Linked DNA regions of Lonchura striata. The main gene of each other region encodes a partner of the protein of the gene in region 4 in a complex. Links are inferred from orthologs where the notes say so. Each region holds a gene or a part of one and is shown on either strand. Other genes may lie near its edges.

Evidence for each region.
Region 1: MED26 (region 4) and MED13L share a complex: the UniProt entries of both Homo sapiens proteins name them as parts of the mediator complex. The link is inferred for Lonchura striata from reciprocal best matches to the Homo sapiens genes MED26 and MED13L.
Region 2: MED26 (region 4) and MED7 share a complex: the UniProt entries of both Homo sapiens proteins name them as parts of the mediator complex. The link is inferred for Lonchura striata from reciprocal best matches to the Homo sapiens genes MED26 and MED7.
Region 3: MED26 (region 4) and MED4 share a complex: the UniProt entries of both Homo sapiens proteins name them as parts of the mediator complex. The link is inferred for Lonchura striata from reciprocal best matches to the Homo sapiens genes MED26 and MED4.

The regions. Positions count from the first base shown.
Region 1 is NC_134620.1:6,577,127-6,584,539, forward strand, and holds the start of MED13L (mediator of RNA polymerase II transcription subunit 13-like), read right to left. Parts: upstream 3,083-7,413; 5' UTR 3,026-3,082; coding exon 2,954-3,025; intron 1-2,953. UniProt on the Homo sapiens protein: Component of the Mediator complex, a coactivator involved in the regulated transcription of nearly all RNA polymerase II-dependent genes.
Region 2 is NC_134617.1:4,516,712-4,524,100, forward strand, and holds MED7 (mediator of RNA polymerase II transcription subunit 7), read left to right. Parts: upstream 1-4,765; 5' UTR 4,766-4,820; intron 4,821-5,790; 5' UTR 5,791-5,808; coding exon 5,809-6,501; 3' UTR 6,502-6,755; downstream 6,756-7,389. UniProt on the Homo sapiens protein: Component of the Mediator complex, a coactivator involved in the regulated transcription of nearly all RNA polymerase II-dependent genes.
Region 3 is NC_134604.1:61,908,134-61,915,671, reverse strand, and holds the start of MED4 (mediator of RNA polymerase II transcription subunit 4), read left to right. Parts: upstream 1-4,323; coding exon 4,324-4,442; intron 4,443-6,614; coding exon 6,615-6,681; intron 6,682-7,033; coding exon 7,034-7,204; intron 7,205-7,538. UniProt on the Homo sapiens protein: Component of the Mediator complex, a coactivator involved in the regulated transcription of nearly all RNA polymerase II-dependent genes.
Region 4 is NC_134630.1:3,979,459-3,987,048, reverse strand, and holds the start of MED26 (mediator of RNA polymerase II transcription subunit 26), read right to left. Parts: upstream 3,286-7,590; 5' UTR 3,249-3,285; coding exon 3,174-3,248; intron 1-3,173. Other genes in the region: SMIM7 (small integral membrane protein 7), read right to left, coding at 6,267-6,282, 6,687-6,777, 7,373-7,425, 7,510-7,551. UniProt on the Homo sapiens protein: Component of the Mediator complex, a coactivator involved in the regulated transcription of nearly all RNA polymerase II-dependent genes.

The DNA.
Region 1 (7,413 bases), on a different chromosome or scaffold from region 4:
TTTTGCCTACCAGAGCACACCAGTATTAACCCATTTTCCAGAGCGTCGCTGGATCCCCGCGCTGCCGGAGAACACCACACACACTTGGTGCTGCCAAGCGCTGCAATCCAGAGGAACATCCCATGGAACCCAGCTCTGCCAGCCCAGCACCATCCCCAGCACCTGCACTGTCAAAGGAAACTTTAAAACCTCCACTTCAGACCATGCCCTCCCCTCAGGTGACACATTCAGAGCCCAGACCACTGAAGGCTTCCACTTGCTGGACATCACTGATAAAAGAGAATCGGTAACTAAAAGAAAACACTTCCCATCAAAAGATTCAGAAGCAGCAAAGGCTCCTAACCTCTCTAGCATGTCTACAGCTGACAGAAAAATGGCAATCATGAATCATTAAACAAACCCAAATCCACCACAGCAACCAGACACAGCTGACACAGAGCTCTGGCTTCTCCAGGGCAAGGAGACAGCATTCCTGCTTCCACAGAACAAATGTATGTGGCAAGAAATATTATTTAACCATGAACAAACAGTATCACGATAGACTACAATTATTTCAGAACTGTAATTCTCCACTCACGAACATTACTTCGTGATTCACACACAAAACAAAGCCTGCAGTTGAAAAACCCCCAACTTCTAATAGCAGAATCAATTTTCAAAACATTTGTAATCTACCTCACTGTTAAAGAATGAATGGATTCCCAACAGTTAGTCGTTTAGATTTTGTTCTGTTACACTGAAAAAGTAAATTATTAGCAAAAGTTTCTCTAACTACTAATCCACACTACTGTAGCTTTAACACTTCATAAATTTTGAAATGAATATGACAATCTGAGGTTAAAGGGTCAGTGGTGCTGGCTACATATTTTCAGTTAGTGTTTCCATTTTCAATATCTTTCTCTGCTACATAAATCCCAAAAAACACTAACACAATATTAAATAAATCTTCCTAATAGTTTTCACATAGGTTGTATTTTAAAAACACTACTACTTTATTCCTTTTTTTTTTTTTTTTTTTTTTTTGTAGAGCCACAATACAATAAAAACAGTTTCATACACAGGACCACATTAAGGCACAGATACCTCCCACAAAATTACATGGGAGATTAAAGGGCTGCACATTAAACTCATTATTAAAGCCAATTGCAAAAGAATTTCGTTTAACTTATTTCAGTGATATTACACACCCATTTAAAATTGAACATTTCCCTAGCCTAGTCAGGTGGGAGAAAAAAAGCAACCAAACCACAATAACTATGAAATAGCTTCACTTTATAATTTATGCTAATTGCATGCCAACAATTATTTTTACCAGTGACAGATTTGCAGATTGCAACTGCAGGAGAAGTTCCGCCTCTCCAAACACACACTCAAGTCTGCATTAATGAACGGGGACTTCACAACTCTGTGAGGAGCAAATCCTCCATTGCCTCCCTTCTACAATCAGATACGATTGTTCCCTTCATGCTTCCCGATTTATTTTCCTCCCCGGCTAAGAGCAGCTTAGTCAAAATCACCAGAACAATCCCCCAAATCACCTTTCCTGCATCTCCATACACAGAGCACTACTACGTATTTATAAATATTACTATATGCCTTCAAACAGAAGCACGGATACAAACTTACATAACGTAACAGTTCAATAAAAAGCCAGAGTAAGAAATGTATAATTCTTACAGAACAAGCTCGTGGAGCAGTTTTCTAGCAGTGGAAGACTACAGTTCTTGTTGCAGATTCTTAAGAGGTACAAGCAAAATATAGTATGTACATATACATATGCAGATTAAAAAAAAACCAAAGTCTGAGACAAAATAACAAATATACTACAATAACGTTTAAAAGCATAAAACAAAGAGCTTGATCATTTGCGTTTCTAAGTAATTTCCTTTTTTTTCTCTCTCCTTATTTTCATAAGGGAGCTAAAAACAATCTCTTCCGTTCCATCAGAAGAAGAACATATGCACCCACCTCCAATTCTGGCAGAGCTCTGCTGCGGGGAGGGGGCACTCACCACAACCCTTTCACACATGCTACCCCCAAAGTTGCATCACAAGGTTTTAACTCCACTACACCACGCACCGAACAAGTCCCTCCTCCCCTCCGACATTATCCCTGTAGCACTGGAAGGCTCCCGATGATCCAGCAGCCCTCTCACTCACTCAGCTGTTGCCCAGCCAGAAGGGATAATGTTCCTGTGCATGCCAGGTAAAATAAAGCAAAGTATTTCCGAATGACTCTGCCATTACACACAAATTGTTTTCGTATTCTAAATTTAAATTGCCGATCTATAAGCCAGCCAAAACTGCTACCATGATTCCTGCAACATTAAACCACGCAATCCACGTCGGAAGTTCCCAGTGAGATGGGCAGACAGCATCTATGCAAACAATCCGGCACACTACTGTCAGCCGCTGTTGTTCTTCACAGAAGAAAAAATTAAAAGGTTTGGCTTTTTTTTTTTTTTTTTAACCTCTTGCCCCCGAGCACGATGTGTGCAAAGAGGTGAGCAGGCTGTAACAGCAGCTGACACGCCGTCACAGGAGCCCGGAGCTAAGTCCGACAGCCGATCACACTACATGAGCGTTCGCTGCTGCTGAAATGGCGTTTGTCATTGTGAGAGGAGAGAAAACCCCCCGGTTCGGTGGCACAAAGCGCACAGGGCACGGAGTGCCAAGGGAGGCGGGGAGAGGAGCCTGTTTACCCAGGGAAGATGGTCGTGCAAGGGACACAGAGCCTTCCCCTCCCCGCTCTCCAGCTGCGAGCGCGATACACGGACCCGCAGCAAACCACGCTAAAGAGCAAAATAAACACGGGGACCGGGCCGGGGGAGGGGCCAGCGCAGGAGCAGCCCCGGGCCCTGCCTATAAACCCCCGGCAGCTGCTCCCGACCGGCAAACCCGGCGCGGAGCCACCCTCGGGCGCCCACCCGCCCACCGCCCGCTCACTCACTCACCAGCGAGAAGAGGTTGGAGTGACAGTCCTCCAGGCTGGCCCCGTTCGCCACCCAGTTCGCTGCCGCAGTCATGATCCTCGGCGAGCCGGGCCGCCACGGCGGGGCATGTCTGGGGGGACGGCCGGGGGGCGAGGGGCAAGGCGGGCGGCCCCCGGGGCGACCCCCGTCACTGCCCGGGGCGGCCGCCGCGCTCCGGCCCCTCGGCCCCGCGGGGCCCCGCGGCCGGGAGGGGACGCGCCGAGGCCGGGGCGGGCGCGCTGCTCCTCGCTACCCGCCCCCGCGCCGATAATCCTCGAGCCGGGAGGCCCTTCTCCGGTGCAGGCGGGGGGGACGCGTCCCCCGCTCCTCCAGGCCGGGAGAAGAAGAGGAGGAAGGGGGGGCCCGGGGCCGCCCTTCCGCGTCCAGGTGCGGCCCCCCCCGGTCGGGGGTCGCGCGGAGGGCGGCGGGTCCGTGCGGGACGCGGGGCGGGCGAGGCGAGGGGGGGGCCCGGTCCCGGCCCCGTGCGGAGGCGTCGGCGGGCGGGGGGCGCTGTGTCCCCTCCCCGCCCCGCCCGGCCGCCCCTCGCTGCTGCCGCCGCTGGCTGTGCGTGGATGGTGTTTTCCTCCTCCCGCTCCTGCTGCCGGCGCCGCCGCCTCGTCGGCGCTGCCCACGGGGTGGCGGCGGTGCGGGCGCGGCCCGGCCCGGGCAGGGAGCGCTGTCCGCCCGCGCTGTGCCGGCCGTGCCCGCAGCGGCCGCAGCTCCGCGCCCGCTCTGCCTCCTGCGCTCTGACAGCAATGGCGCCCGGGCCCGCACCGCGCCGCGCCATTGGTCCGCGCCGCACCACGTGATGCGGACACGGGGGCGGAGCCCCGGCGCCGGGGCGCCTCCCGCCGCCGCTGCGCTGCGCCCGCCGCCCGCTGGGGGCGCTCGGGAGCGGCGCGGCCGTGGGGGGTCCCGGGCGCGGGTCCCGACCCTCGGAGCGGGAGCGCAGACAGACAGACAGACAGGGATGGCGGACGGACAGACAGACAGCGGCCAGGCAGTACGGACAGACAGTCAGACAGACAGGGAGTACGGACAGACAGACAGACAGGGATGGCGGACGGACAGACAGACAGGGAGTACGGACGGACAGACAGACAGACAGGGATGGCGGACGGACAGACTGACAGCGGCCAGGCAGTACGGACAGACAGACAGACAGACAGCGGCCAGGCAGTACGGACGGACAGACAACGGCCAGGGAGTACGGACAGACAGACAGACAGGGATGGCGGACGGACAGACAGACAGCGGCCAGGGAGTACGGACGGACAGACAGACAGGGATGGCGGACGGACAGACAGACAGCGGCCAGGGAGTACGGACAGACAGACAGACAGACAGGGATGGCGGACGGACAGACAGACAGCGGCCAGGGAGTACGGACGGACAGACAGCGGACAGGGAGCGCGGACAGACAGACAGACAGACAGCGGACAGGGAGTACGGACAGACAGACAGACAGGGATGGCGGACGGACAGACTGACAGCGGACAGGGAGTACGGACGGACAGACAGCGGACAGGGAGCGCGGACAGACAGACAGACAGGGATGGCGGACAGACAGACAGACAGCGGACAGGGAGTACGGACGTACAGACAGACAGACAGACAAGGAGCGCGGACAGACAGCGGCCAGGGAGAGCAGACAGACAGACAGGGAGCGCGGACAGACAGCCAGCGGCCAGGGAGAGCAGACAGACGGGGATGGTGGACAGACAGACAGCAAGCGGCCCGGCATCGCGGACGGACAGCGGCCCGGGAGCCGGCGGGGCTGTGCCGGGGAGGGGAGGCTGGCAGCAGCGCCAGGCTCTCCCCGCAGAGGTGGTCGGGCACTGAACGGGCTCCCCGGGGACCCCTTCAAAGTCACAAAGTACCGCAGGACATAAGAAAGCCAGTGTCTTACTGGAAAAGGTGAAACAGAGTTTCACGTGGTGATGCTGCAAGTTTACTAAGGGGCTTTTTTCTTTTTTCCCTAAATAAATAAAGAACAGGATAAGGAAAACTACCATTTACTGCCTCTGAACCAGGCAGAATTCCCTTATTAACCATTGAGGAAAAGCAGAAGGAATAAACATGCTACCCAGACATTTGGGAAAGGTTTTCTTTTTCTTCAGGCACTGCCCAGGCTCCCCAGGCAGCAGGCACAGCCCCAGGTTGCCAGAGTTCCAGGTACAGTCGGACAACGCTCTCAGGAACGCACAGGATGGGACTTTGGGGTGGCCCTGGCAGAGCCAGGAGCTGGGCTGGATGATCCTGGTGGGTCCCTTCCACCTCGGGATGTTCTGTGGCACGGGAACTGTATCCCATCCGTGGAGTCGCTCAGGATGCCAGTCACGGGGGAATCATGATCCCGAGCATTCCACGTTTCACCGGAGGGTTTTCTCAGCACCTGAGAGTGCTCAAAGTAATTTTTAAAAGGCCTCAAAGCTCATTTGTGGTCACGCTCCCCTTCCTAGCTGAGTTTAACCCCACACTCTGCACAGCCCTCAAGTCACCCCGTGCTCATCTGAAATAGCTTTGAAGATGTTAGCTGGCATTATTTTTTTTAAAGGGAGTTGGAAAACACCTGAGTTAGATAACCAAATGAAATTCATTCCCAAAATAATCATGGTCTGGAGAAGAGCCACAGATTTTTATTCTGAGTTGCAAGGGGCCCGCAAGGATCATGGAGTCCAACTCTTAAGTCAGTACTATGCAAGAAGAAGACACTTGGTTTAAAAGAGATAATTCATCACAAATAACGTTTTTACTGTTTGTAATGACCTGTTGATTTGAACCAGTGGGAGCAGAGAGTTTCTCCCTGCCTGAGTTTCTCCCTGACTGAAGAGTTCCACAGATGGTAGAAAGCAAATATTGTGCTTAACAATATTGAAGATATTGAGCATTTCAACTTAAGCTCTAATACAGAAATGCAGCACATTTTCAATGATGTAATTCAGTGGAAAAAGTTCTCACTCTGTACTCAGTGGCAGCTTTCCTTATCATGATTTTAATCTCATTTAAGTGTCTTTACTTTTTTGCAATTTACTTTTCTTGGCAATAAATTAAGATTAGCATCTCTTGCAATGGCTGACTGGAGTTTGTTTGGATTTACCTCATAGTAACAAATCTCTCCCACAAACAGGCATCACATTTACCTGAATTACGTACATAGAGTAAGAGACAGAATTTAAGCCAAACGAAAATTTCCACCCAGCTCAGAGTTCTTACTGTGTGTGTGTTTCCTCTGACAAATCCATCATCCATCAAATCCCTTCCCTGCCACACCGACCAGAAATTCTGACTTGCAAAGACTGGACCTATACTGTGAAGAAAAATGTTTTCAAATACAAATTATTCACATTCAGTTACAATTGCAATGTATTCAGTCCAAGCGTCACAGCCTTGAAACTGCTTCTTACATCCTGGCACCCTCAATCAGGGAAGTACTTTGGCCCATGCTACTCCCCTTCCTTTTGGCACAAGTCTTATAAACAGAGAACACAATCTGACACTTGTAAATATGTCAAGCAATGTGTATTAACCAACCCCAAACCACATCCTTCCGCATTAAAATAGTACAGCTATTGTAACTCCACTGCAGCACCACGCACCCATCCTATCACTACAGGAGGCCCAGGGACAACAAACCATTTGATGAAGTATCCATCCTATTTCTGGAATAAAAGAACATCCATTACCATAAAAAAATATAATTTTCTTATTATATAAAAATTTTTGCAATTGTGAATGGTGATATTACTTATCCAGATAAATACTGTGCAGGGTTGGACATTGCAGAATTCCTGTTGCTTCCATATGCTGCTTAGCCTCCAAATGGTATTTCCAGTCAGCACCATTCCTCTTATCTCGATCTTTCAATTACTGGCGACTGATTTTGCTTTATTTTGTCAGGAAAATGTGGGATCTAACAGATTATTCAGGTCCATTTTTGTGAGGAGAAATGTTAACATACTCATACTGTGCTGCTTTGGCCACCTTCCAGTACTTTTATGAATGTTAAATACTTTATACATTAAAAATTGTGAAATCATAGAACGGCCTGGGGGGGGGGGGGGGGGGCCTTAAAGCCCATCCAGTGCCACCCTCTGTCATGGGCAGGGACACCTTCCACTACTTCCACTATCCCAGGCTACTCCCAGCCCCATCCAACCTTGCATTGGACACTGCCAGGGATGGGGCAGCCACAGCTTCTCTGGGCAACCTGTGCCAGGGTCTCCTCATCCTCACCATAAGCAATTTCCTCCTACCATCTAATCTAAATCTCCCCTCCTTTAGTTTTACTAAAAATCATGTAATGTAATTCAATTACCTGTTTTGTGGCAATGTTCTGAAGTTGAGTAGGTGGTTCTTGCATTTTGGAAATGGTACTGGCCACAGATCTTGACCATGGCCCTGCGCTGCCAAGTCCATTTTGGCTTTAAACTGAAAGACAG
Region 2 (7,389 bases), on a different chromosome or scaffold from region 4:
CTGACCTATATCCTTCTATCATGTGCAATATTTAGGTCAGGTTTGCTGCCTGGGTGCCAGCTGCTCAATATGATGATTGTTGCTCAACTTCTAAACTTCCATTTTGCTACTTAGCTTGGAGTGCGAGAAACTCTCATTTAGGTTACTCAGCTGTCCTCTTCTTTAGCAGTTCATTGTCACCCCAATAAACATGGCTCCAGTAGACTCAAAGAACAAGACAGAAAGCTGCAGAAAAAGGGAAGAATTAGCTGGTCTTTATGAACCAGATGCATCCAGCTTTCCTTGAGGTTACAACTGCACCTTTGAATCCCCTCACACTGCTCCCAGTGACCCAGGGAGTTGTAGAAGCAGAGCAAGATCCTCCTGTGAACTGTTTGGGAGCCCTGAGAAATGGGATGCCTTGTTCTGAGCATCTGCTGGGAGGATGTAGTGAATTATCCATCATTCGTGAAGTGAATTATTCCCAGTATTGGCAGTAATATAGAGCACGTGTTTTATACTGGAGAAGCTGCACAGGGTTAGGTCCCTTCTTCTGTGATAAAGGGACAATTAATCCTTTCCTCAGCTGTTCTCTCTTAGGCAAAAATGCAGAAAGGAAAAACTCGTTTCATGGGAGCCATAGCCAAACTGGGATTTTGTTCCAGCTCCTTTTATTAGTGCCTGGCTATCATGGTTCCTGTCTGTTTCTGTCTCCCTCTGAAGACAAAGGTGGGACTTGCATTGCTGGCAAAACTTGCTGCAGATCCCAGGGTTTGCCCTGGCAATACAACACATTTGCTGTACCCAGGTCACTGTTTGCTGGACAGGAATTACTTCTTTGTGCCATGCAGATGCATTTTTTAAAGACATGTTAATTTACTTGTTTACATGTTTGTTTTAAAGACATGTTCATTTACATGTTTGAATAAACAGTTACAACAGGCATGTGAGCAAGAAAACACCCAGCATTAATGTCTGGCTCAAAAATCAGGTTGGGGGGCTGCTTCCTGAGACAATACTATGACTATGAACATAGGAAGGAGTGCTGGGTGATTCCATCAAAACATGCCTGGATTTTGAGCCCTATCAGTTTCCTAATTGTAGTGAGATACCTGGTTTATTGCTAAATAACCATGAAAGCTCTGTTTTGAGCTTTGAATCTGTTTGATAACAGGCCATAGAGCAAGAAACAGTTTAGCTGTCATGCACTGCTCTGTGTTGTGCCCCAGTTTTCACATGATGGGAACATTAAACTCCTACTTCAGCAGGCGTGCCAATAGGCTGCAGCTGATATTTTAGTCTGAGGAGTCAGGAAGAAAAGGTTGCACAGTACTGCACTGCAAATTCATTCACTCCCAAAGCCACAGCGGGAGGCAGGGAGATGGGAATTAACCACAGCAGATGGAGACATAAAGCTTGGTTAAGTCTCCTTCACCCCCAACAGGCTCCTTTTCTCTTGCCCTCCTCCCTGGTTTATCCTGCAACAAAGCCTGTAACAATCACCAAAAAAGGAAATTCCTGAGCTCATTGCTTAACCAGGCTACAAGATCTAACCCTAACCTACGCCCAAGAAGAGACTGGAACCGAGTTTGACTTTGGCGTTGTTTTTCAGACAACATGAGAAAAACACACACACATCTATTTATCTATTTATTTATTATTTAGAGTGCAATAGCAGCAAGAAATGAAAGAAATCTGTTGTAGCACAGAAGAGAGAAGCACTGTTCTAAGAGCATGCCTGAAAGTGGGGTTTATATTTACTGTGCTTGTACAATGTTTGGATTCCAGTTCTGCTAAAATAACAGCATACTGCAATGGCACACACTGTACACACTGCTGCTGAATTAACAGAAATGGAGTGCTTGCTACTGAAACATGCCAATTTGCATAAAATTAGTTATGAAGAAAATGAAAATAAACTTAACCAAAGCTATAAATTAAGATATTGAGTCTTTGAGGCAGAGAATATCATGGTACTTTTTCACCATCTGTTGAAGGGGTGTCGAAGTTCATTCCCACAAGCTGGAGATGATGTAGGAATTGTGCTTCATTACCAGTGCTAGGCTTGTACTGGATAGTGCCCTTATTTCAGAAAAGAGCTGGACTGGAGCAAGAAGCAAATTGCAGAGTGCTACACTTGAGATTCCCCGTCATTCTTAATTTCTCATTTAGAAGCACTGTAAGGAGAAGTGTCAGCTGCTCCCCGTGGGCTGGAAAGGGTCATCCATGGGTCTTCTGAGAAGCAGCCCTGCCACCAAGAGCAAGACTCATCGATGTTATATTCCCTCTGTCTTGGCCACCATCATACAGAAAATGCGTCAAGATCACAGAGATCGAGGGAAAAACAAGAGCATGGCTCTCTCTGCCTGCTCCTGTTTGAAGTCACAGCATTTTACATCCTTGCTGCATGGTTCACTGAGTGCAAGGCACTAGAGAATCAAGCTCAGCTCCTGTAAAAAGAATGTGAAATCAAAGTCTGGAAAGTCCAATGAAACCAAGGATGTGTTGGTACCTCCTACTACATGTGTTATCTCATGCATCTCTGGAGGCAATGATTTTTATTCCTTATCTTTCTTTCAGAGTATGATGTAACAAGATGATTTGAGACAAGATAAGAGATTTCTGTCACAGAAATGGAGAGGACAATTCCCCACCCCATGTTCCCAGCCTCCTCCTTTCCTTCTGCCTATGCACAGTCCCCTCTCAAAACCTCTCCCTGATGTTCACAGGGTACACAGCACAGCATGTTAATTCATTAGAAAAGCTGAAAACTTTACAAAAAAAAACCCTGCAGTAATGTTTTATGGGTTTGGAGCTGCATCAGTTTGCTTTGCAATCCAGTGCCTGATGGTGGTGGCACAAGCAATGACAAGAAAAGGGTGCACAGCCAGTGAGGGGCTGGAGGAGCAGGGAGGGAAGAAAGAAGAGAGGGAAGAAAGAAGCAGGAATAGAAGTGAAGGAATGAGATCACCTTTTCCAAAGGAAAAACGTTTTAGTTGCAGCATGGAACTGCATCCTTGTCTGAATTCAGCAAATTGCTTACAAATGAAAACAAATCAGCGTATTTTTCAGCCAGGCTTTTACTCACTGTAAAGTGCAGTTCAGTTTGGAATATTTAAATATTCAACTCATTGTAAATTGTAAAGTGTAGCTTAATTTGCAATATATAAATATTCAGATATTCAGTACATCGTTTCAGGCTTTCTCATCAAATAAGTATAACGATTCTGGATCTTCTTTGCATGTTTTTAGGAATAATTAGCAGGATCCAAAGTAATTATCATTCAACTGAATTTTTTTTAGTAAAGAATCGATCTGGAAGAGTGAATCTGTAAGTGACACTGCGTGTGCGGTGATGGGTCCCTAACACCCAGGCCATTGCTGCCATCTGCTGAGGGAGAGAGAACGGCACAGAAACGGCCAAGTATCGAAAAAACCTTCCTTGCTGGCCATTTCAGGGAGAAAATCCCGCAGAAGCGATGCCAGCAAGCCCAGCTCCACCTGACCCGGTGAAAAACTTACATCCACCATGTTAACTTCAACTCCTCCTGGAAGAAAACGGAAAGAAAAGCAACGGAGCCCAACTGTTTGTCAGTTATGGTCAGATTTAGCGTTTTCTGCTGCCGGATGGCTGCAAACACTTCCCAGGGGGACCTCGGAGGTATTTTCCAACCGGATTGGTTCTGTGATTCCTGTGATTGTTCCGTAATGCTGTTGTCTCCCAGCAGCGGGGCCGCCCTGACGAGCGCTGTCCCCGCTGTCCCAGCTCCCGGGGCCGCCGGGCTGGTCCCTCCTGCCCCGGCGCTCCCGCTGCCTCACAGCGGCTGGTGGCGAGGGAGCCCGCTCCTGGGGCACGGGACACCGAGGGGAACAACGCCGAGGGACACAGGACACCGAGGGACACAGGACACCGAGGGACACAGGACACTGAGGGGAACAGGACACTGAGGGACACAGGACACTGAGGGGCACAGGACACTGAGGGGAACAGAACGCCGAGGGACACAGGACACTGAGGGATACAGGACACTGAGGGGCACAGAACGCTGAGGGGAACAGGACACTGAGGGGCACAGGACACCGAGGGGAACAGAACCTCTGAGGGGCACAGAACACTGAGGGGAACAGAACGCTGAGGAGCACAGAACGCTGAGGGGCACAGAACGCTGAGGGATACAGGACACTGAGGGGCACAGGACACCGAGGGACACAGGACACTGAGGGGAACAGGACACTGAGGGGCACAGGACACTGAGGGGAACAGGACACTGAGGGACACAGGACACCGAGGGGAAGAGAACGCCGAGGGGCACAGGACACTGAGGGGAACAGGACACTGAGGGGAACAGAACGCCGAGGGGCACAGGACACTGAGGGGAATAGGACACTGAGGGGAACAGAACGCCGAGGGGCACAGGACACTGAGGGACACAGGACACCGAGGGGCACAGGACACTGAGGAGCACAGGACACTGAGGGGTCACAGAACGCTGAGGGGTCACAGATCGCTGAGTGGTCACAGACCGCTAAGAGACCACAGACTGCTGAAGGGTCACAGAGCGCTGGGGAGGGTCACGGACCGCTGAGGGGGTCACAGACCTCTGAAAGGTACCCACCGCCCCAGGATGGGGCAACCCCCACCCCGCCATACCGGGAACCACGCCCCGCGCCTGGCCCCGCCCCCGAGCGAGCTGAGTGGAGGAGCGCCTGACTGCTCTGCGTCACAGCCAATCAGAGCGCGGCACCGCGAGGCCGCCAACCAATAGGGAGAGAGAGGAGAGGGCGGCCGGGCGGAAGCGGCTGCGGCGGCGCTGAGGGAGCGCGGCGGGCGGAGCGGGCAGGTGAGGGCGGGAGGGCCGGTGCGGCCTCCGCGGGGTCCGTGCGGCCTCCGCGGGGTCCGTGCGGCCTCCGAGGGGCCCGTGAGGCCTCCGAGGGGTCCGTGCCCTCCGAGGGGCCCGTGCCCTCCGCCGGGCCGTGGCTCCGGCTCTTGTTTCTTCAGCACTGACTTGGCGAGCCCCGCCGCGGGGTTTGGGCCTCCCCAAACTCCCTCCTCCGCAGGGCAGGGCGGCGGGTGTGGGCCCTGCCTGGTTTCTCTCGTGGGCGCGGGTGAAGAGGGGAGGCCGCACGAGGAGCGGCTGAGGTCACTCGGTCTGGCCAGCCCGGAGAAGGGCAGACTGAGGGGGGATCTCACCGCGGGCTGCAGCTTCCCCCCGAGGGGCAGCGCCTATCTTTGCCCTCTGAGGCCAGTGACAGGGCCCGAGGGAGCGGCTGGAGATGTGCCGGGAGAGGGTTACGTGGATATTAGGAAAAGGTTTTTCCTCCAGAAGGTAGTTGGGCACCGAACAGGTTGCCCAGGCTCTCCTTGGTCACAGCCCCAGGCCTAAAATACTTCAAGAAGCCTTTGGGAAATGCTGTCAGCCATGGGGGAGATTTTTGGGGTGTCCTGTGCAGGGCTTTTGCAGATCCTTGTGTATTACTTCCAGCTTGGGATATTCGGTGATTCTGGGGGGTTTGCCCACCAGGACCCATCTAGGGAAGGGGGTCACCCTTCTCCCTTTGGCTGCCTAGTTTACAGGCTGCTCTTTCATATTTAGAGAAATGAGTGTTTTGTGTGCTTCTAGTACTTGGTATAAGTAAATCTTAGTGAAAAGATAACGTGGATTTGCCAGGAGTTTCCTGTATTCTGCAAATGGATTTGTCTCTTCTTGCTCATTTTCTTACTGCCATCTCCCATATTTTGTCTTTTCTTACATTTATATTATAAACTTGTGACACAAATTGTTAACATTTGTTTCTTGGGTCATTCCCTAGAAATTTCATCTGGCAAAAATGGGTGAACCTCAGCAAGTGAGTGCCCTTCCTCCGCCTCCAATGCAATATATCAAAGAATACACTGATGAAAACATCCGTAAAGGCCTGGCTCCAAAGCCACCTCCTCCTGTGAAGGACAGCTACATGATGTTTGGCAACCAGTTCCAGTGTGATGATCTGATCATCCGGCCCCTGGAGAGCCAGGGGATCGAACGGCTGCATCCTATGCAGTTTGATCACAAGAAGGAGTTAAGGAAACTTAACATGTCTATCCTGGTCAACTTCCTGGACCTCTTGGACATCTTGATAAGGAGTCCAGGGAGTATAAAGCGAGAGGAGAAACTGGAAGACTTGAAACTGCTTTTTGTCCACGTGCATCACCTTATAAATGAGTACCGGCCTCACCAGGCCAGGGAGACGCTGAGGGTCATGATGGAGGTGCAGAAACGGCAGCGCCTGGAGACGGCCGAGCGCTTCCAGAAGCACCTGGAGCGAGTGGTGGAGATGATCCAGAACTGCCTGGCTTCCCTGCCCGATGATCTGCCTCACACAGAGGGGGGACTGAGAGTCAGCGTGGAGCCCATGGACACTGACGATGGCAGCAGCTGTGCTGGACAGAGCGAAAAACAGAGGGAGCGTTCTGGTGGCAAGAGAGATCAGGTTTTGGACAAAGATGCAGCAATGTGCAGCATTATTGATGAGATGACATGAAGCAAACAGCTGGTTTTGTTAATGCACCGCAGTGAGAGACAGAAGGGGTTCTGAGGATGCATTTTGTATTTTGTTTTGCTGTTGTACAAGCAGAAAGAGCAATTGTTGTGCACCTGTTGGAGGTTGTGGGTGACTGGGCAGATGAAAATGTTTAAAGTTTTGTGGTTTTTTGGTAAAAAATAAAAAGTCTAATTTTTGTTAAATGTAGCATGTGAGGTCGTAGGCACAGATTAAAGTTGGCTTTTCCTGTTGTACTTTCATTGTTTTGGGTATGCCATTCTATAATTCTTTATGCTGAGTCAAGAAGAAATTCCTACAAAAATGGTGTTTGTTTTTTGCACAAACAACACACAGGAACTTGGAAAACAGGCAGACAGAAACTCTGATTACACGAAAGCAATCCTTATGGTCTGTGTTTGAGGTGAAATCTAAAGCAAGTGGGTTAACTGGTGTCCTGTAGCTCTCACATCCTTTTATTGTGTGACCTGAATGGCTTTCCTGGGATCCTGGCAGAGACAGCCTGCCCTGCCTTTCCCATTTTTGCAGAGCAGTTTCAGGATCCTCCTGGTAATTATCAGAATTGTTCCTCTAGCAGCTGTCTGCAGTTTCCTCAGAAACCAGAGGAGCTGAGAGGAATCCTTTTCTTAAGGAGTTCTACTTCCAGCTGCTGCATGCAAAAATCACCTTCATCCGTCTATCACTTCTTTCCTACAAGTGTATTGCTAGTTTGTCTCTCAGACATTAATCCCTTGGTTTTCCTGATTTTCCCTTAAAACTGCTGTCAGTTTGGTGCCTCTCTTCTCCTATAAGGCAGTCATGCAAGGCAAGGTTCCAATTCTAACATCTTCCACTTGCTCATAAATAGCTCCTTAGTACTTCATTTCACTG
Region 3 (7,538 bases), on a different chromosome or scaffold from region 4:
AACATAGATTTCTTTTAAAATAGCAATAAGAAATGGATGATTTATCAGACACATTTCAAAATATTAACAGTGTAATGACATCTTGACAAATGAGGGACGATTATTCTCATCTTTCAAGACCAAAGTACAGCTGTGAAATCCTTCCAAACAGTGCTCAAGATATTTGATTTCTATTTTAGTTGATTTTTGACAGAAAGGATTTTATTTTTACATTATTTAGGGGAAGTAGAAATGAGTAACTGTTCTGTCCCTTTTCCTTTTTGCTCTCCTTGTGTATCCTCCTGCCTTTATATTTTTAGTGATTGCAATGCTTTATTACACATGGTCCTGAGAACCTTCAGGTATTACGTATCTTCTGTAGTCTGTATTTTCCTTATTATTTTAAGGTGTGGTAAACTTAGCTGTTGCAAACTGAACACCTGATGTCTAGTGTCTGGAATGTATAAATTAGAAGACAGCTGAAAAGCACTGTAGCCCAGAAAAAATACAGATTTTAACTGAAGCACACACCTGCTTTGGGTTTCTTAGGCAAGATTCGCTACAGCTCAGCTTCTACATTCTAAAGTGATTTTCTAGTTCATAGGAAAAAAAACCAAAAAAAAACCAAACAAAGTAGGAATACCTAGAGTGAAGGAATCACAGTATTATGTTGGAAGAAAATGCTTTGCACTAGAGGAATCCTAGGTCTGAATAGCACTGAATTATGAATAAAAGAAGGGAAGATCTCACTTTTCAGCACTAGCCCACAGTCCCATGAAATTAGTTGCAACTCAAGCCACACTCTGAAGGCATGGTTCCATATGATGAGGTTAGAGTTCACTATCTAAAACAGAAGGAAATGAACATCCTCTTCCAAATTAAATATTCTTCAGTCTGGTTATTGAGTTGAAGTGGCTCATGGCCCATATGGCAAACACCAAGAAGGAGCTAAGGGTGGGTGAAAATCTGCAGTTGGGACATGAGAAGTTAGCAGCATCTCAGGTTCTTGCCCTTGGTGAACTATTAGATCAGATCAGATGCTCCTAGATCTATCTAGAGGAATCAGTTTGCTCTGCTGATCATCACTTCAAGGCCCATTCTGGAAGAGAAAAGACTCAACTGAACAAGATAAAATAAGCTATTTTTGCTTATGCTAGAAGGTTCTTAACAATACATTCAGTATGCCATTGAACAGACAATTTGAAATTAAAGAGCTCTGAAATGTTTAATAAACTCACTGTGCAAATATCCATGTATGACTACACAAACTAAAATGTTCTCAGTCTACTGGAAAAATTCAGGAACAATGCTTAGTTATTCAGGAGGAACCAAAGAAGCAGATCTGGCTCAAAACCAACAAAACTATGAAAAAAGTTTACCCAGGGGAAAGTAGGCAAAAAGCACTGAAGAACTGAGGTAACAGAGGAACCAACACTGGGGGAACAGAGGCTCTGTTGTTTTTATAGGGAAATATTTCAGAAGTCTATTCAGCAAAGTATTCACTCAGTCTTTAAGTAATCAGTCCATGGGGGGCACGAGTTTGGGGCATGAGCCCATTTCACCCAGCCTTTCCCTTTGTTCTGAAGGAGATGACCCCTATGACATGGTTTGAATTACTTTCTATGTCTTGGCACAGACAGGCATTCCCTGATACCTCTGGTCTCACCCTGTCCTCCCACACAGAGGCACGAACACAGTTAAGTCTCTGCCTATTCCACTGCATTCCCCAGACATGGCTATGCAGCCATGGGCAGTAGAGAGCAGACAGTTGTCCATGTTGCCTGGAAGAGGAATAGAAATTTGAGAAGTAGGTTGGCTGCTCCAGGGAAAGATGGGTGGTATTGGCCTGGTTGGGTGGAAGTAGTACTGCTGTGAAGAGGAAGGGAGGGAACAAGCTCCCAGGCAAAAGGAGAATGAAAGATCAGGCTACAGAAATCACCTATAATCAATATTCACACCTGTCAACTCTGGGTGTCCTATTAATGCTGCAAGCTTTTAGCTCAAGTGAAACCAACATTATTGCCCTGAAATACAGCACTCAAGTCTAAATAATCCAGATGTCAAAATGAGTATGAGGAAGAAAATGATTTAGTGGAAGGACTGCTTTGTTTTTGATGTCACTATTTCTTTCTATTTATGCACCCATACAGACACTAACGAATCAGTGAACTGGATGCACAACCAGACACTATCACTGATTACATCTTTCCCTGAACAAAAGCAAGGAAATAGAGAAGGGAAAAAAAAGCAAGCAAAAGTTATTTAAAAGGCAGAACTATTTAATGAGATTTTATCTGCTATGCAGTTTAAACAGAATTCCCAAACTATTTGCAATCAGAATGTTGAGGGTTGTTGGGCATTGCAAAGGAATTTTAAATAACTCCTGTTAGCAAAGTCTTTTTTCTCAGAGTTGCCAAATCTCATTGCTTTATCAAAAATCTCATAATGTTGAATTGCTTATTTAAATCACAATCCAAAGAATTACTGACTAATGAGTTTCTTGCCTTTTTTTCTTCTTTAAATAAATGTAAATTTCTCAGGAATACACTTTTTGCAGAAGGTAACAGATAATCAGAGTAAATACCAGCAGTCAGAGAAGTTATTGTTCCTGTAGGCCTTTTTCTAATCAGGGGAGAAGAAAATAGCTGTTTACTGGCAGCTGCCTGCTGACAGCAGAAGGACACAGGGTCTGGGGCTCCCTGTTGTTCTATGGTAGTGCTTGCCCTAGTTAATAAACCCTGGCCCCAGATAAGCTCTTACTCTGTACTCCCTCATCTTCCCTCCAGCCTGGCCTCACAGGGTCTTTCCACATTACTGAAGCTTTCATGAATATAAAAAAATTCCACTGGCTACACTGTGACTCCACCCAGAAGGAGCAGCCCGTTTCACCACCCCATAGAGCGCAGCATTAAAAAACCCCCACAACATAGCAGTACCTTTTAATTCCAACTCAACTGCTGGCAGGGCTGGGTGCAGGATTTGAGCCTATTATTGTGTTCAGATTCTGCCCCCAGCAGGCAATTGTGCCCTGACCATTGTGTGTAGAGGTCCGTGGTGGACACCAAGCTACCTTCATGGACACACACGTGTGCACGGGCAGTGTCAGGAGGACAGTGATGCCTCTAGTCATGTAAGGGACAGCCAGCCCAGGTAAAACCCTGGTCTTGGTCTGATTTGAAGTTCAGGTTTTTGATATGCTTTCAGTATCATGCACTTAACCTTCCTCAGTTGCCAGTAAAACACCAGATATATAAATGTCTAAAGGAGACGTGTCAGGATGGAGCCTGGTGCTTCTCAGTGGTGTCAAGCAATAGGACAAGAGGCAATGGGCAGAAACGGATGCACAGGAAGCTTCATCTGAACATGAAGAACTTATTTACTGTGTGGGTGACCATTCACTGGAACAGATTGCTTAGAGAGATTGTGGAGTCTCCCTCACTGGAGATAGCAAGAACCCTCTGGATGCAATCCTGTGCAGTGTGCTCTAAGACAACCCGGCTTGAGCAGGGAGGTTGGACCAGATGACCCTCTGTGGTCCCAACCTGACCCTTTCTGTGATTCTGTGATTTTATCCTCCATCTGATCAAAGACACCTGAGGGATTTTTGGACACCAAGACTCTCAAAAATTGAGTTAAAGCCCCTGAAGATGTAATACAGTTGCACACACTTCACCTGCAGCCTGTTTTCTGTATCCTTAGCATATATCAGTGTCATCTGGAGGCTCTTTGTGGGGGCCCGGGGACTCCACAAATGCATTCCAGTTGGAATGGTTGTAGCCAGGTGGGGACAGACCTCTCCTCCCCAACAACTAGCAACAGGAAGACGAGAGGTCACCGTCTGCAGCTGCACCAGGCAAGGTTTAAGTTGAACATCGGGAAGATTTTCTTCACCGAAAGGGTGATTACGCATTGGAATGGGCTGCCCAGGGAGGTGGTGGAGTCACCATCCCTGGAGGTGCTTAAGGAAAGACTGGACGTGGCCCTTAGCGTCGCGGTCTAGCTGACACGACGCTGTTGAGACTCCGTAATCTCAGAGGTCTTTTCCAACCTAAATGATCCTATGATTGCAAGAGCAACAAGCACAGATGCTCGAGGAGCGACCTGGCCTCAAGGCAGGCCGCAGAGGCGACCCGCTTTCCCTCACGCCCCCAGCCCGCGGGGACGCGCCCCGAACCCCCGCTGCGCTCCGCCCCGCCAGCCGGCGGGAAGGGATCCGCCCCTCCGCCCCGCGCATGCGCGCCCGCCTCGCGGCTGCCGCTCGCCCCTGCGCCGCCGGGGGCGCTGCCGCGCGCCCGCGCGCGCCTCCCGGGGGCGGTTCCCGCTGGGGTCCGCGCCGGGACGGCGATGGCGGCGGCGGCGGCGGGAGCCGGGGCCGGGGCAGCGGCGGGCGCGGGGGGCGGGGAGCGGAGCAGCACCCGGGACCGGCTCCTGGCGGCGCTGGAGGATCTCGAGCTCTTGGCCAGGTACCGCGCTCGGGCCCCGTCGGCCCCGGGTGGCGGCGGGGCACCGGGGGCGGGGTGAGGGCTGCCGGCGGGGCGCGGGCGCGGAGCCGGGGTTGGCGGGCGGAGCGGAGCGGCGGCCCCGGAGGTTGGGATGGGATGGGAGGGGAGGGGCCCGGCGCCACTGCGGCGCTGGCCCGACCCGGCTGGTACGCGTTTTCCTGCTCTGGCCCTCCTCGGGCCGGCCCTGCCGGAGAGGGGCTGGTGCTGCGCCGGGGCTCGGCCCGGCCCTGCGCAGCGCTTCCCGGCGCTCATCCCGCTGGAAAGCATCGGTCGTTTGCAGAGAGAAGGTGTAGCTTCCTTTTTCTCCCACTTGCCTTTCTCCCTTGGCTGACACCTCTGCTTCCTGTGAAGTGCACACTCACACGCCGATTTTAGGCATTTTATTAGTCACTAAAAATATGCTTAAGTCAGAAATACGTAGATGGTGTGGCATGACATCACCTGTTCAGGTCATTGCCTGTATTAGTGCCACATTCACTCCAAGTAGGCTGCAGCGCTTGTCTTCAGAGTGATAGAAATGCTCAGATACTTAATCCAGGGTCTTTAGTCCAGGCTGGTAATCCTCATCCAAATTGTCAACCATGTCGTGGAGGCACAGCTGGCAGTGAAGTTCAGATAGTTCCTAATTATTTTCCACACCTCAAGGAGAGCAGGAATTTAGGAAAACATTTTCAGTGGGAATACCTGTACTATCCATGTGGCTTGCTCACTGAATGAGTTCCAAGACTAGGATATGCTATTGGTGAGTTGCTCTCCTTGTGGCAGGTTAAGTTTTATCCTGTGTCACAGATTTTATTGAGACATAAGGGTTGCTGAAGAGCATATGTTTATTGAAAAATGAAAACAAGCTTATTCTTTATGTATATTGCTAATATTTTTTAATGCTGGAACTAGTGTTCTACCACAATGAAGCCAGAGCAATTCTCAGCAAAATTTAGTGAATCTTCCTGTTGATCAGCTAAGTGTTGCAGCACCCTGGGGCTAGGCTTTTCTCAGTTTCAATACTGGTTTGGTGGTAGGGACAAAAATTAAGCCATATGTCTAATCTGTAGCCTTTCTATAGTTTTGAATCTATGTCTGTGCATTACCTGGCTGACACAGGGTAGAATTACAGCACTAGTTGACATCACCTTTGATGGTGGTAGGTGACCTACTTAAAATGGATTTTATTTGCTACTGCTCAGCGTTGGTCAGGTAGAATAAAGCTTTAGTAACAGTGACAATTTTCTTTATTGTCTAATTGTTTAAAATCATAGTAGTGTTCAGGAGTGACCAAGAGATATAGACCAAGATCAGAGTTTTACTGGGGATTTTTTTAGACATTTCTGGCCCCAGTGCTATATTACACACACACCCCACTATGCTGCTTACACTGGACCAAGCAAAGAGTCAGTACTTCCAAGGGCAGTGTCTCCAGATGACAGTTACTTGTGCTTAGGGTTGAATTGCCATTCATAGCCTTAGAAGCCAAATGACTTTGCTGAATTTACAGAAAATGCCTTTTTGCATCATGGTACCCAGAGTTCTTGCTGGCTTTCTGAACACAGGCAGAGTATCTGGATATCTGGAAGAGTGATCAAGAGGTCTGTTTGAGAAGCACTTCTAGCCTAGCAACAGAGTATTACCAGGGTTCTTTTATATTTTTTTGTGTGCTTGATGCATAGCTAATATACCATTGTGGGAATATTTGTTGTAAAAGCAGTTCCATAACAGACTCTGTTGGTATTTGAAAGTGTAGACTTAATTGCTCTAAATTACAAGTATATTGGAGAAAAAGTGGAAAAAAGTAGAGAAGTAAAACAGTGAAGACCCTCTTGCAACAAAGAAAGCTAGTAGAAGAAGGATCTGAGTGCACTCCATTATGCTGTTTCTTCTCTCAGGTTCTGTTTATGTCTTTTATGGTTTAACAGGAACTTAGCACATTTCTTGTTCAAATACATGAGGGTTTCATGAGCTCAAATAACAAAAAAATATTCTTTCTTGGTTGAAAAGTCCCTGCCCACACTGTACTATAAAATATAAACTGCTCAGGTCCATGAATACTTTCATAATTATACCAGTACTCTGGTAATTTTGGGATGACTTGATGTGAGAATGCTGTAGGAAATTGTGCAAACGGAGTTCTCCTTTCAGGGAACTAATTGAAATTTTGGCAATTTCAAGAAACCAAAAGCTTCCACAACCAGGAGAGGAGAGCCAGGTAAGCTGCCTTTCTGAATTGCATTTCTTTGGGTAAGCATAATGCTTTGCTTCTAATTTTTTTCCATTTTTTTTCTTTGTCCTTACTTTCTCCTTTTGTCCTTGCCTATATTCAAGTTAATGGTCATGGTGGGGCTTTGGCCCTGCTACAGAGGCATTATTGGTTCTCCTGCAGTTTATTAATTTTTTATGTGCTTCATAGGGCGTTTCTGCAAACAGGAAGAAATTTTCTTTCATTTTTCATTCAAGCAAAAATACTCCTATGGATGCCATTTGCTCTTCTTTGTAGCATGACTGAGAGTGTGTTGTTACTCTAGCCAAATTAAAAGTTCTACAAAACTGTTGTTCAATAGATCCTGGAACTGCTGATTCAGAGAGATGGAGAGTTTCAAGAGCTAATGAAGTTGGCAGTTGATCAGGGAAAAATCCATCATGAAATGCAGCTTTTAGAAAAGGTAGTAGAAAAGCGGGATAATGATATTCAGCAGCTGCAGAAACAGCTTAAAGAAGCAGAGCACATACTGGTAAGTTCATAATGATGTGTTTGCTTTTGAGCATCTTCTTGTAGAAAAGGCAGTTCTGGGCAAAGTGGTGTTGTGTTAGTTTGAGACGATTTAAATACTTAAAACTTCATAAGAGCTTAGTGGTTTGGGTTTTTTCTCAATAGTCAAACACTGTTTAGTTATCATGGTATTAAGGTTTTTTTTATAATGCTAATTTGCTTCTAAATCTACTTTATTTCTGTGTATTTTGAAAATGTTCATGGAAATTTCTCTTTTAAAATGCAATTAAATGGAAGGGTTTATTCACAAAGTTGACTTTATGTAGACGTTTATAAATTAAATATGTATTGAAGGT
Region 4 (7,590 bases):
AACAGGAACAGATTGCTACATATTCAGCATGAGGAACCAGTTAACTGCAAGCACAATTCTAGCAGCTGGCTGGGAACGACAGGCTTGTCCACAGAGCAAAAACCAACATTTCTCATTACTCCTGAAAACAGGGAATAAACTCCCCCGGGAGCACAGGTTATCAAGGCAAAGGTGTTCTGCTGGGTGGAAGGGGTGGCTTCCCAGCCTTGTTCCCACCAGAATCAAAGAACATCTCCCCTGTTAGACCTCACAGAACAGAACTCCTGCTCTCCTCCACCTCCTGCTATGTTCTCACAGAAGCCTTGGAAGGAAAGTGATGCTGGTACTCAGTGCTTAGGTCATGGAGCAGAAGTGGTTTGCCCATATGTTTCCTGGAGGAGAAAAGGCTGAATAAATGAAGACACAATACCAGACATCCCGGGTGGCTTCTAGGATGATGTAAGTTCCTTTAAAAATAGCTTATTTCTTATAGGTCTCCTTTGAAATAGTTCAGAATTTACACAGGTAACCTCTAAATGTGAGAAACTAAGTTATAAATATATTCTGCAGCAATTACTAGAGGAGGTTCAAGTGCTAAACATGTGTAAATTCAATATTGCTCCCGAGTCAGCAGGGCTTTATGGAGCAGCTGGAGATGAACAATCAGCACACGAGATGATTTCCCGAGGCCAGCAGGTTCTGCAAGCTTGGGGAAACAATTATTTTGACCAGTTCAACCCAACAGAGGTAGAGAAACTTATGTCCTTTTTTTTTCCCCCCATTTAAGGCATGACCTGTGAGTCAACCATGATCCAAGTAACCACTCAAGAATAAATATCCACAATGGCAGATTGTGTTAGGGGATGTGTCAGGGAATTTAAGTGAAGCTTAAATTTACAGATCCTACAGTAAAGCACCATGAAGAACCAACCATCTCCTCCCTCCTCAGCCCCATAGAACTGGACTGGTTTTGTCCACCTGACACTACTGGTGCAGCTTTCAGCCTCTCCAGAAACACACACACTGAAAAGTCTGAATTAAATCTAGGCCTCAAAGCTTGACCTTCTTGGTAAATGAGGAAGTCAGTGACAACAATGTATGCTGTAGGTTTGAATACAAGTAGTTCTGTCAGGAGAAGATTCTAAGAGCCAGCAGAAAGTAGCTGGAGCTTTCCATGAGTCCCTGCAGGCACAGAAGCTCATTGCTGCACTGACTCTCCCAGCAGGAAAACAGCAGAGCAGCTTCTTGTACTTTCACCATGGTGTCCAAGTGTGATTAAACTCAAAATCTGTTTTTTAAGTGTGTTCAAAATGTAAGTTTTTCTTCCCTCTGTGCCAGTGATGTGCCAGGTAGTGAACAACCAACACCGCCACATATTCCATGTGCTTTGGAGCCACGAGTCTGAGTTCTCAGCCTGCACAATGAACCTCAGCTACACCACCTCTGCTCTCCTCCAAGAAAAGGTTAAACTGGAAGACAGACCCTGCCTACAGGCACTTTGGAACAATAGGCTGATTTTTCTGCCACCAATTATTGCCCTGGATAAGTATCAAGTATGTAGAATTAAAATTTAACATACATCACTCCTAAACTTAAGGGGCTACTGACCTGTTGGGAGCTCTGGCCTCCCCTTGCAGGGAGCTGCCTGGTTATTTGGAGTCCTCTCACAACAGCATCCTGAAACATCAGCATGTGGAGAAAGGGAAGAGTATCCAACACCAAATTGACTTTCTGGCTGTTTAGTTCTGCACAGCCACAGTGTCTGACAAAGTAACACCAGAATTAGGGTAACCACTGCAGCTGACAGTTCTGAAGTCAAAAGACACCACAGATCTGCTAGAATTTTATTAAAGTAGGTTGACACTCAGTCTCACGTAGAGTGAACAATCTGCAGCCACAGAGAGCTCAGTGCACACAGGATTCATGAAGTGTACTAACTGACATTTCAGCAAGATCCACGTTAAAGTACTGCAAACTCAGACAACCCTGACATTTAACAGCCCACAATTACCGCCACGATTGTTACTGTTACTCCAATGTGCAACACTGCAGCTCCCCACAGATGCCCAGCCCAGGGGGCTCTACAGAACCGACAAGGCCGGAGTGGTTTTTCTTCAGTCCCCATGACACAGGCTCCGGGAGGGTTCCAAATGACAATAACTTTATTAGCTACTTTAGGACTTTGATGCATGTCTATCACAAAAAAAGTACTTGTTCAGACAGGAGCAGGTACGACTTTAATAGAACCAAAGCACCATTTCACACACCCCAGCCCCTAAAATAACACGCACACATTCAGCCTGATGAGCCAGAGGCTGCTCCCACAAACTGCAGATGGCCAAGCCAGACCCACCTTGGCATCCTGTGGAGGTGAGTGTTGATCTAAGATTCAAAAATTGGACAGATTGAGGGCCCTGCAGTCCTCTCACAGTAATAAACACCTAAGCGGAGAACTGCTTGGATGAGCCAAAAAACCCTTAAAAGGAGCAAATGATCCTTTGGATAACCGCCACTTAAGGCCACTTACAGGTAAAATACACGCTGACTTCTGTGCTTACACCACATCCCAAGGAGCACATAAGCTCATTACGGCGCTGCAGGAAGGGATAAAAGCGAAGACCGAGGCTGCTCGGTGCTGGAGCAGCTCCAGAGCCCCGCAGCCACGGCCGGAGCCCTCCTGGCGTCCCCGCAGCCCGGGGTGCCGCCGGCCGCGGCCGGAGCGGCCGCAGGGCCCGAGGAACAGGTGGGCGCCCCGGAAGGTCCCGGCGAGCGGCGGCGGGGCCGGCCCAGAGCCCCCTGCAGGCCGCGCCCGAGCCGCGGCCTGGCGTGGGGAGGCGGCCGGGCCGCCCGCCGCATGGCCGGGCAGCACCGGCCGGGCCCGGGGCGCCGAGCGGCGGCGGGGCGGGGGCGGCCGCGGCGCCGGGCGGGCGGGGAGCGGCCCCCGGAGCCCCCAGCGGGGCGGCCCTGCGCTGCCGGCCCGGGGGGCGCGGGCGGGAGGCGCCGCCGGCTGCGGGACCCCGGGCGGACGGCGCGCCGGGAGCCCCGCGCCGCCGCCGGCAGCGGAGGCTCCGGTGCAGCCGGGGCGGCCCCGGAGGGAGCCCCGGAGGCCCCGGGAGGGGGAGAAGGGCGTCGCGGCGGGAGCGCCGGGCGGGGGTCGGCCCGGAGCGGCGGGGGCCCGCGGGGCCCGTACTCACGTTGCTCTGCGGGTCGATGGCCTGCAGCAGCCGGTCCCTGATCTGCTGCGGGGACGGGGCCGGAGCCGCTGTCATTGCCTGGGCGAAGCGGGGCGGCTGCGGCTGCGGCCGGGGCTGGCGGGCGGCGGGGCCGGGCCGGGCCGGGGCGGCGGCGGCGGCGGCTCCTCACTCGCCGGCGGCGGCGGCCTCGGGGAGCCGGAGGAGCATGTTCGCTCCCCGCCGGGCGGGGGCGGCGCGGGGGGCCGGGGGGAGCGGGCGAGCCCAGCGCTCCGCTCCGCTCCGCTCGGGCCGAACGCGGGGCGCGCTGGGGGCAGGGCCGGCGCCGCGCGCGGCTCCCTGGGACGCGCCCGACGCCGTGACGTGCGCGCGCCGCGCCCCGGCCCCCGCCCGCCCGCACCGCCGGGGGCGCGCACTGCGCCTGCGCGGGGGAGGGCGGGCGGCGGCGGGAGCGCGCGCGTGCGCGGTGGGGGAGCGGGGCGGGGCTGGGGCGCCGTGAGGGGGGAAGAGGGGGACGCGGGGGAGAGGGGGAAACAGAGGCTGGTGAGGGGATATGGGGGCAGCCAACAGGGACCCCACGGGGGGCACGGAGACAGCGAACAGGGACCCCTGAGGGGACATGGGGGCAGCGAACAGGGACCCCTGAGGGGACATGGGGGCAGCGAACAGGAACCCCTGAGAGGACATGGGGACAGCGAACAGGGACCCCTGAGGGGACATGGGGGCAGCGAACAGGAACCCCTGAGAGGACATGGGCACAGCGAACAGGGACCCCTGAGGGGACATGGGCACAGCGAACAGGGACCCCTGAGAGGACACGGGGGGCACGGGGACAGCGAACAGGGATCCCTCAGGAGACACGGGGACAGCGACGATTCTGGGGGACATGGGGACAGCAAACAGACCCCTGAGGGGACACGGGGGACAGGGGGTAGCGGACAAGGATCCCTGAAGGGACAGGGGACATGGGGGCAGCGAACAGGAACCCCTGAGGGGACATGGGGGCAATGGGACAGCGAACAGGGACCCCTCAGGGGATACGGAGGCAGCGACGATTCTGGGGGACATGGGGACAGCAAACAGACCCCTGAGGGGACACGGGGGACATGGGGGCAGCGGACAAGGATCCCTGAGGGGACACGGGCGGCGCTGGGGGACATGGGGACAGCAAACGGGCCGCTGAGGGGACAACGGCGGTTCAGGGGGACACAGGGATAGCGGGAAGAAGCTGGAGGAGAGGGCGCCGAGGCGGGGAGCCGTGAGGGGAGAGCGGGGCAGTGTCGGCGGAGGGGCAGCGGGAGCCGGGTGGCCACTCCGGGACCCCCGCCCGGCCCCGGAGGAACCGAGCACCCTGCGGAGAGAAATAAATAATGGGAATAAATAACGGGAATAAACCCCCTGCGGGCACCACTCCGGGCAAGAAGGTGTGAGGGGTGTTCTGGTCCTCTCAGCAAAGCATCAGTGCAGCACTTAAAACTTCTCACAGCATTTAAGAGCAGCTGAAATTTGACTCCTGATTTCGTTGTTTTAAAGCAGCTGCTTCGAGGCTGAATCACAACTTTTGCACAGCTGGAGTCTTTTGGGGACAGCCCACTCTGGAGCCACACGGTGTGTGCAGGGTGATAAAACTACATTCCTTTAGCAGTGGAACTCCCTGTGATCATAGTTACCATTTTTCTGAGGAAGAATAAAAACCCCCCTAGCTCAAAGCTGAACCCAGGGGTGTCCAATAGGTCACACACACAGTGATGCCACATCCACCCGTCCCTTAAAATTTGGTTTAATTAAGATTAAGCACTAAATGTTTTCCAAGAATTATATTGGTTCAATATAATTGATACAATACAATAATGGTATTGTATTTGGCAGTATACTTTTTTGTCTCATTCTGAAGAGTTAGAAAAGGGTTAAAATATACTGAAATTACAGACAATATGTTTAAATCTAACCAAAGGTTGTACATATTTCTGGATTGCTCAAACCACATTTGAAGGAGCCTGTCTGTACATTTTTCTGGGTTCATTACAGTGGCCATCAAATGACCCTTCCCCTGTCATGTTTCATTAATGTGAAAACTTCAGTTCAACCAAGAGGGCAACTCAAGTAAAATGCTGCAGGTGTCCAACACTTGCATCTCACTACCAAATAAAATTCCAAATACTCCCTAAAACCTGTGCCAGGGCATCATTTAAATCAGGTCTCTTTCTCCTCAACATCTAAAGAAACTGAAGCTGTGGAAGCCCCACTAACAGTTTACAGTTTGATTTAAATGATACTCAGCGCTGCACTCTCTTAAATTAATGATCTTGGCGATTCCAGGGAAAAGCTGTTGGTCAGAGAGGCTAACTTATAAATAACACAAGACTCCAGGCAGATGACAGGAATAGTTACAATTTCCCAAAATACACCAATACAGAATCAATTTCTCATGTAACAGAATGAACATGGCATCAAATATATACTTTACCCTTAAATAGAGCAACTTTATTCAACCAAATCCAAGATTATTCCAAAATTATCTCTTAACATTTGCTTAGAGAATTATTTTTGCCATTTTTCCCCATTCAAAATCCTTTACATATTGCTTAGGAAAAAAAAATTATTTTAAGTATTATTTTACAAAGCATTTTTTTTCTGGAAAAATAGGGAAATAGGTAGAAGGTGAGAATGGCATTTTTTTTTCTTGAATATTCCTTTTCTACGCCTCCAAAGAAATGAATGGAATAGTGAGAAGTTACAAGAACACTCTGCTCAACTTTTACACAAAACTGAGAACTCAGGAGTGTGACTTGGACAGACGGGGGTAACTCGAGCTGGCACAGACCCAGTTTGGACTGGCAAAGCAGAGGTTTAAAACTGGCTCCAGTTCTCCCCTGCTCTCACTCTGAGCTTAGGAAACCAAGTCAAAATTCCCTTTCAGTGAAGTTGAGATCATTTGTGTGAAGGTTGTGGCTCCAAGCCCCCGCAGAGCAGGAACCTGGAGGGGACGAGCGTGTCCCACAGGCCCAGGGCTGCAGCTGGAGAGCAGCAGAATATTTTACTCCTAGAAAAGTTTGTTCCCAGCCAAAAGTCTCTTCTAATATCCATGGGTGGCTTTCAAGATCCAAATAACCTGGGGGATGCAAAAAAAAAGTAAGATGAGAAACAGCCACACCTGTGCAAGGCTGATTTATCCGATTTATTTACTTGGTGGGTTTCCACCCCACCCCAAAATGAAAAACATCCCCAAATTTAAACCCAGGTGATGTTTGATTTGAGCAACCCCCAACAAACAACACTCTGCCTGAGGCTGAATGACTCAGGTGCTGGCACAGGTGGTTTTCATGCACTACAGGTGCCCACATTAGCAAAAAAAGGTGAGATCAACCCGTATTTGAAAACTGAAATAAAGAAGTGAAGTGAAAAAGAATTATGGAAAAATCAAATGGGAGAGACAGATGTGACAAGAGTGCAAGAAAAGTGCCAATATATGACTTCCTGTAACCAAGTGAGAAGATGCTGCACAGGGTTACTCACACAATCATGCAGAACATCATGAAGATATTCCACAAGGCAATGAAGATTCGAAAATACCTGAGACTCAGCAAGAACTCTCTGATATTGTCGCCTAGAAATCAAGAGGAGAAGCTTTTGATATGAAAAACACAACTGACAAGTCAGATTTTCAGCGCTGCCTGAAAATCACAAGCAACTCTGAGAGGGGAAAAAGAAACATTAAAAAAAACACAACAAAAAGTTCAGACTGAAATTTGAGGTTGTAGGTGAAGGATGGATGCTCTGTTCAGTGCAACTCTGTAAGGATACATGGCAAAATGACCAAAAAATTATAAAAAGGGGTCACGCTGCTAAAAAGGGAGGAGCAAAAAAGGTGTTCTGGGATTTTTAACCAGCAAACAGATACAAGGGAGCAACACAGATGGATCCACGTGGAAATGGCAATAGGGGAATGAGCAGAGCATCACCTCTATAGCACAGGCACCTACAGGTCTAAAATGCTGAAAGAAATGTGCTTTTTGTGTGTTTCTTCTCATTTTAGTTTACAAGTTAATACACCAGTTATTCCAGCCCCACAGCAATTCACATCCAACAAAAAGGGGTGGAAAAACTCCAGTTTGGCCAAGGATTTCCTCCAGAAAAGCCCGTTCTGTGCGTGTCCTGGCCCAGGGCAGGGCTGTGCCCGGCTCCCGCATCCCCTCCGTTACCGGTGGTGGGTTCCCTCTGCTCCTCTCCGAATCCCTCCGTGTCCCTCCTCCTCCTGCGGGGCAGAGGGATCGTGTCAGGCAGGTGAACTCCCAAAAAACCCTCCCCGTTCCTCCGCCCGCCCTCCCGGTTCGCTCACAGCCTGAAGTTGAGCACGGCACCGGCGTTCACCAGCAGCGTCCTGCGGGAGAAAGGGAAGGAGGTCGGGGATGGAGAGGGG